2 linked regions of the Schizosaccharomyces pombe genome follow. The protein of the gene in region 2 purifies or fractionates together with the protein of the main gene of each other region. This does not show direct contact. Each region holds a gene or a part of one and is shown on either strand. Other genes may lie near its edges.

What was found.
Region 1: the proteins of mcm6 (region 2) and cdc45 purify together in Schizosaccharomyces pombe (affinity purification with western blotting; 3 studies listed by BioGRID). This does not show direct contact.

The regions. Positions count from the first base shown.
Region 1 is NC_003424.3:4,722,833-4,726,764, reverse strand, and holds the start of cdc45 (DNA replication pre-initiation complex subunit Cdc45), read right to left. Parts: upstream 1,994-3,932; 5' UTR 1,963-1,993; coding exon 343-1,962; intron 302-342; coding exon 5-301; 3' UTR 1-4. Other genes in the region: pex7 (peroxin-7), read right to left, coding at 2,365-3,127, 3,257-3,389, 3,717-3,747. UniProt on the Schizosaccharomyces pombe protein: Required for initiation of chromosomal DNA replication. May have a role in regulating the MCM proteins nda1 and nda4.
Region 2 is NC_003423.3:3,881,181-3,885,112, forward strand, and holds the start of mcm6 (MCM complex subunit Mcm6), read right to left. Parts: upstream 1,878-3,932; 5' UTR 1,817-1,877; coding exon 1-1,816. Other genes in the region: sap10 (splicing factor 3B), read left to right, coding at 2,041-2,043, 2,106-2,188, 2,244-2,415; gamma tubulin complex GCP4 subunit Gfh1, read left to right, coding at 2,753-3,932. UniProt on the Schizosaccharomyces pombe protein: Acts as a component of the mcm2-7 complex (mcm complex) which is the putative replicative helicase essential for 'once per cell cycle' DNA replication initiation and elongation in eukaryotic cells.

The sequences.
Region 1 (3,932 bases), on a different chromosome or scaffold from region 2:
ATCTTTATAATAGTGTTTTGAAGGACAGACTTTCTAAAAAAACCCCGAGGTCACTTTTTTGACACTCAATCACACTTGCTTCAAAACAGTCCATTTGCAAAGTAGCAGATGTCATGTTTGCAACCTCTTGAAATGCAACTCCAAAACGATTGTGTCCATGACCGTCGTCATCATCGTCATCTTCATTGCTAGTAAAAGCGGAAGTAGAAGTTCCAACTATTAAGTACCTATTTTTTTCCTCTACAAAAGCTGCTAAAACAAGAGGAAGATGTCTAAGCTTTCCAAATTCTCGTTCTTGCTCCTTCAAGTGTTAGTCAAACGTTAAAATCAATAGACACTTACATTAATAGCTTCAGCAATCCAAAGACTCATCTTTGTTAACGCAAGGGGATGCATAAATATTTTCAGATCTGGTCCTTCGTTGATAAGTCCAAAACGAAAAGATCTCAACGTTTTAATGGCTCTTTTTTCAAGTAAGGTGATTCCAGTACGAACAATGGCTCTTTGTAAGTGCATTGCTAACTTCAATGCTCTTTCTAATGAATCGACATCGTCCAAGGCGTCGTATGCATCATAAAAATTGTGCAACCATTCTTGATTTTGAGCATTTTCAAACTTCTCCAAATATTCTTCCTCCGTCATATCCGGGCTTCGAGCGACAGTTTTGCTTTGAAGCAAAACACCTGTATTACCCATTTCTAATAATGCACTGATAGCATAAGAAACGTCACTTGCACTAAGTGTACATTTGAATCCATAAGTCCGAGTAAAACTATGGAATATCACATCGTCTAAACCATAAAACGGTGCAAATCTTTTAAGACTACTTTTCAAAGTTTTTTTTAAATCCATGTTCATGTGAATATAAGTTTGTTTACACTCCACCAGACTGAGTCCCATTTTTGCAAGAAGCTTATGTAGTCGTTTGCGTCCTTCCTCGCTCCAAATGTGAAGTCTCGAACCAACGTAAGCAGAATGAAGCATAGAATCATAAAGACTCCAATGTCTTACTAGCATAAAACGAAATTCATCTTCAAGCCGAATTGACTGATCATGGGGTGTCTTACCATGTGCGCGACCGACTATTTGATTTTCAAGTGGTGAAGGGTTCAAGCGATTGACTTCATCTTTCAATAAAGAATAGGACCTATTGAAGTATTTTTTTGAGGATTGGCAGTGAATTTCCAAGCAGGTGAGCCCAACAATCGCTAACCACAACATGTCATTATCCTCACGTCCAAGCATGGATGCTACTGCAAACAGGATATTGGTAATTGACTCGCCGTACCAACTTCCTTTCTCATAATATTCAGAAAGGATAGAGGCGAACTCTTTCCGTTTTTTCCTTTTCTCCTTAATTTCAGCTCGACGTTGCGTCGTTTCCTCTGAAAAACGCCTACGACTTCGTGCTTGATAATCGGATGAGCTGTAAGATTCCACAGATCGGTTGTCATCTTCGACTTCCTCCTCTCGCTCATTACTGGAATCGGAATTTTCTTCATCTGATAGCTCATGCGAATTAAATGCATACCAAGCATCATGAATTTTATTCATGTCTTCTTCAATATCTCCATCGTCGAAAACAAAAATATTGTTTTCAATGTATATATTATTTAGATTATGCGGCCTATGAGAATCAATTACATAGATAGATACGTCTTCCATAGAAACAAGATAATTATTTAGATCCACCATCGTTCCACAATTCAAAAGTATAATGAATTTGATATCTTCATTTTGCTCTAGCAAAGTTTTATTTGCTTGTTCAAGGTCTCGATAGCCCGATACAGGCCTAATTTTATGTGAAATAAAATCGCCTTTCAAAAGTGTGGACAATAGCTTGCATGCACAAAGCGCGTCTGGGTCTAAAGCAACAAAGAGCTGAACTGTGCATCCACCAGATACACTTGCTTCTTTAATTTTCAAGTAAGCAGAGGCGTAATCGGATCTCTTGATGAACATTAATAAATAAACGTTACTGGTGGTGGATCATGGAGGAAATTACCAGGTGGTCAGTACAAAGGAAGGTAAAGCACTTTGAGTCGCTTTATATTTCCTAAACAATAGCGCATTAATATACAAGTCAAAGCTACGCAATAGTAGTTACAAAAAAAAGAAATTTTTGTAGGCATTGCAAACAACCCTTTCTCATTTTATGCCAAATGCCAAAAATCATATTATAATTACTCTAGTTACTAAATTTTTCACTTGAGCTACCTAAACTATCGTAAAAATAATTTGTAATCGCTGTTTTCTGGTGATATAATCCAAGGTGAACATGTGCACAACGAATTTATTCCGAGCGTTCGAACATTTCGTCTTTGAATCAGTGTAATAAAATCTTAAATTAAAAACAGCAGCAACTTAAAATGCGTTCCATATATACAAAGATTCGTCCCAACCAACACTTGCAATCCAAGATCCATCGCCGAAATCACTCCAATCAACATCACGGACAAATTCAGAATGCAAATCAACTTTTCTTATGCAAGAGTGCTGTTCCGGGTCAAAAATTCGAGAAGTCATATCGTAACTTGCTGTAGCCAAAAGATCATGGGCGGAATTGGACGATTTTATACTTCGAACAGCAAGTTGGTGACCAGACAATACGGACAGAGGCGTCTTTAAATTCGCGATATCGTAACAGTAAACCAGATTGTTATTGTCGGCCGTGTAAACCATACGATGATTAGACTTGCTCCAATTCATGCAAGTAATTTGATTCGGTATTTCAATGGACATAAATTTATCGGAAGACCGGAAATCCCAAAATTTGCATAATCCATCACTTGATGTATACCCGAGTAAATTTGGAGAGCTATAATGTGTAGCAACTGTAAGAATCCTTGAATTCGAACCATTGTTGAGCGTCTGCACACTGTTAGGCAAATTGCCTAACCATAATTTGATAGTCCCATCCCAGGAGCCCGTAACTACAATTCTTCGATCAACCGTATTTGTGTCTATTGCGACAATCTCCGCTTTATGCTCTTTCCATTTATGGATGGGCTTAGAGGGCATAGTCAAATCAAATAGTCTCAAAGAACCATCACCACAGCAAGCGTAGACTTGATTTTCACAATTCTGAGACCAGCGCACACCAAACAAAGAATCCTCGACATCATAGCTAGTATTTAACGTTAGATAAATTTCATTTCGTAGGATTTAGAGACTGTTTTCATCATAATAACTAATGGTTAAAAGTGTTTTGTGCAAAAGTCTAATAATGAAGAGCAGTAATCGCACAATTACTTACTGTTGGCAAACTTGAATTCCTTTTGGCGTAACATCATGAATATAAAGACGTCCGCTTCCGCCTAATCCATAATGGGTGACAGCTGCAACAGCGATCTTGTTTTCGACAAGTGGAGAGAATTGAACACTTTCACCTAGCGAATATTGTTAGTAACGATGTACAATTATGCATTCCAAGATATTTATTTTGTTTTGTTTTCTTTTTTTTTTTCCAATAAAAAGGAAGGAAAATTAAAAGGAAACAAAACAAAACAAAACAAAATAAAATAAAATATAAACAAAATAAAGAAAATATTCAGTAATAACAAAATTTCGTATTTCTACATCATTTGAATTTAGTTTAGTTATAGTTCGGTAATATTCGTTCATTTTATTTGTATTTTTCTCAAGCAGTTGTACTATCGCTAGTACTAGTACCATATAATATTTTGTCTTGCTTCGCTTCCCTTTATTTAGCTTACCTTGAAACCCAGGAGTCCTCAATGACAGCATGGGCAAATAAACACAAGCACGTTGCCCTCGAAGAATTGCTCGTTTACAAGAAAAAAATTCCAGTCATGAAACGGAATTATTTCGCAGCTCGGCTTAGATATTTTTCTTATATAGTTTTGCCAATAAGTGTTTCTACTTATGCTCCAAGCAACTTTTGCTTTTTGCCCCGTCTCGTTTCTGCTCTA
Region 2 (3,932 bases):
TAGGAGCAGACATATTGATGTTATTCCGCAAAGTTGTTTTTCGGTTATAGCGGCCACCTATTGGATTTGCAGCAGCAAGGATAGATGTCCGTGCGTTTAATGTAGCTTGAATTCCAGCTTTTGCTATAGATATCGTTTGTTGTTCCATTGCTTCATGAATAGCAACTTGGTCTGACAGATCCATTTTATCGAATTCATCTATAGCACATATTCCATTGTCAGCCAACATTAAAGCGCCTGCTTCTATAGTAAAATCCCCAGTTTCTTCGTCCTTAACAACTGCAGCTGTGAGACCGGCCGCAGATGATGCCTTTCCAGAAGTGTAGATTGCACGAGGAAGAAAATTGCAAACGTATTTAAGAAATTGTGATTTCGAAGTACTGGGGTCGCCGACAATACAAATGTTCAGGTCGCCACGAAGATTTATACCTTCAGGAGTTAACTTGTGAACACCACCCATTAACTGTAAAAGAATCCCCTTCTTAATTATTTCATGACCATAAACAGAGGGAGCCAGTGAGTTTGTCAAACGAGAATAAATATGATCTGAATGCACCATCGCACGTAAATCATCAATTTCTTCTTGAGAAAGCGATTGCAAAAATTCATCTTGCTCTTCGATCCCTTGAGAACCATCCCCTCTGACATCCGCACCGCTTTTATCATTTGCATCATCTGGTTGAACCATGCAAGCTAAAAAAGATAGTTTATATGTAAGATCACGTACACCTAAAGACTTCAGTCCTGTCACACCATCTGCATCTCTACCACCAAAATTGCGAGAATCTCGATAAGCTTCTGGCTTTACACCAGGAATTCCTAGCTGTGAGACATCTGGAACGGCAATAAGAATTCCCGTAAATGCGCATTTGTCACCAGCCTTAGCCCTTTCAACAATATCTCCGCGCAAAATTACGTCCAAAGTTCGTGGCATAGAACCCGTAGGAATCTCGTTGCTATTTTCTTGAATGCGCACCTTTTGCCAGTCCTGAAAAGAAGACTGTGAAATATTGAGCCGCCAACTTCTTTTATTAGCACAAAGTTCATTAGGGCATTGAGTTGGTTCAGTATAGCGAAATGCTTGCTCAACATTTGAAACTACAGTGTGGCATTCCTCACAGATAAAAGTACCTTGTGCTAATTCAGGGCGTACTTCAGAAGTACGAGTAACTGTACCTGTAATAGTCGTGAGTCTACCGATACGATCTGTTCGTAAGTCCCGAATTGTGGATCGAAAGGGTAAATTGTAAAATGCAAGAGCAAATGTTTTGTCACTGGCTTTAAAGTTCGGTGAAAGTGAAGCATTTTCACGAGAAAGAGAACTTCTATAATATTCTGGTTCAAACTTTTCAATCAACTTTTGTAAAGCTCGAAGTAAGAAAGGAGAAAATCGATAATATTGCTCAACTATCGCAAGAGCTAACACATCATTGTACGAGGTTAAATGCTTATAATCAACGTAAACGGTATGAATCTCATACATTGCCAATCCATGAATCTGTTGAACATAATATTTCTCTTGTGATGCAGAAGGGAGAGCATCACCTCCAGCAACGCGGTCATCAGAAAATGACAATAAAAACTCTTCAAAGGCTTCACGTACTGATTCTCCGGTTGTATCAATTACCTTTGGTATGGCTTCTCCTATAGCAGCAAAAGGTTTCCTTTTCACCATTCCATCATCCTCGAGCATAGCACTCGACTCAGGTTGTGAAGGCATACTTACAGTTGGCCTGTCCCCAACTTCTGAAGTTTGAAACCCATAACGATATGCAGGAGTTGAAGCATTATTACCCTGAGATGCAAGAGAAGACATCTTCAAGTGTAGTGCTCCCTATTATCAAAAAACTGCAACTACAGGTTTTTGGTCAAAGGATAGCAATGTTTATTTTGAAACGTTTATTTCTGTGGTTGCTTTGGTGCGCTAGAAATCGCAATTTAGAATTGCAAATTACAGTATTATACCTTATTCGTTTCAATTAACAATATGTGTTAAAAAAACCCAGTCTGAACATTATACCACATATTCCAATATATACTATGGTAAGAAAAAAATTCTTGAATTATCTCTATTCTATGCTTCTTTCATTTATTAACGATTGTAGGCAGACAGGTTGCGCTCTCAAGCAAAACTAGAACAGTTACAAGCGCGTTATGTTGGTGTCGGTAATGCGTTTACCACCAAATAGTAAGTACTAATCGGTTTATTTGACAAATGAATTTTCGCTCACCATATAAACTAGTGAATGGATGGTAAATCAGCACCGGGATACTTTGTCTTCTGTAGTGGGGCATCCACCGTTGCTCGCATATATGGCAACGGCGCTCGGCGAACCGAGAGTCCAAGTTCGCAAAAACCTATTAGAAAAAATGATCATGCCATGTGGACCACCTCCCCCTTCTAATCAATTTTAAAGTGTTGTGTTTACCTGTTGCCCAAAATTAATGTCGTTAAACCTTCGCTCGTCTGAGACTTTGTTTGTTTAAGATAAACAGTACCTACTAGGTTATTACAAAATAATATATATATATATATATATATATATATATTAATTGAATTATATGCAATGCTACATTGATTATTGTTCATTGTAACAACGCAAGACATTCCCTAGTCGTTACCTTCAAAGTAACACGAATAAGTTTTAGCTATTTATCTCATTTACTACGAAAGCCTCCTTTGGAGTAGTTTACTTAAATTGGCTATATGTTGAATATTTTCATGCAAACTCTGTAACAATAAATACATTATATGTTGCATGAGATTATTTTGTTGCTCGCAGGGAATACTTCTGGCCTGTTTATTGAGAAAAATGGTCAAATACTACTGCATCCATCTGTTCAACCATTACACCCTGGTGAACGAGAATTAATTAATGACATAGTATCTTTGGCAAGTAAAAGGAAAAGGATAGAACGATATATTGAAATTTTTGATGAAGATTTGATTCAGCAAAACCAGTTTCTTCTTAAAGCTCTTAGACTTCTGCTTTCGAAAAAATTATTTCTTTATGATGAAAGTCTAGCTAATTTAGAGCGGATGATTATATCCAGCGATCCTTATTTTGTAGGTTCCGGAAAATTCGTATCCTTGGCGCAATTAGAAGCGCATTTAGCAGATTGGAAAGAAACTTTATCTAGTCTGCTAGTACTTCAAGGTAATATTTCTCAATGCTTGAGTGTAGCTTCTACGTTTCAAAAGCTGCATAATATGTATATGGGCTCTACTCATTTGAATTTTAAAAAGCTGGTTTTAGAGTGTGAATGTGCTTTTCAGAAGACTTGGCTTGACGAATTAGTGCAGTATTTGGTAAATGATTCCGGCGATGACAGCTTCAAATGTTCGTTTTTATGCGGTGATACTAAAGATTTTGTATCTTGTAGCAATAATGTCCCTTTTTTGACCCAAGACATCGTTAATTGCTTAGTTTCAATACGAACGTGTATGCTCAATGCAAAAAAATGTTTCACAGACGCTTTCTGTGAAATTCTTAGATGTTTCTACAGACTGGTATATGAAATGCCTTTGCCTTTAACGAAATCTTCAGTGACAAAATTAGCAGATGAAATGTTCACTCTGGTATCAGAAAAAATAATATTTCAATTAGCTTCGTTTCATCAGATTTTCGATTTGGTAAAAATGCTAGAGATGGTGATGTTACTTGAAAATGTTGAGTTTCTTCCAACATTATCTGAAATGTTCAGAGACGTTCGTGGTGAATATTGCAGTTCAAATGACGTTCAAGGGGTAGTAATTGATGATATTTTACCCGTTGTTTTAAGGAAAACTATTTCTTTACTTGATCTCGCTACTGAATATGGAGAATGTGTATCTTTTCTAAAACTTGTAAGTATCTTTGATGAAGAAGATGAAATGATTCGCTCTGAGAATCGTAAAATCGATGTAGAGGGACTCAATATGCAACTGTTAT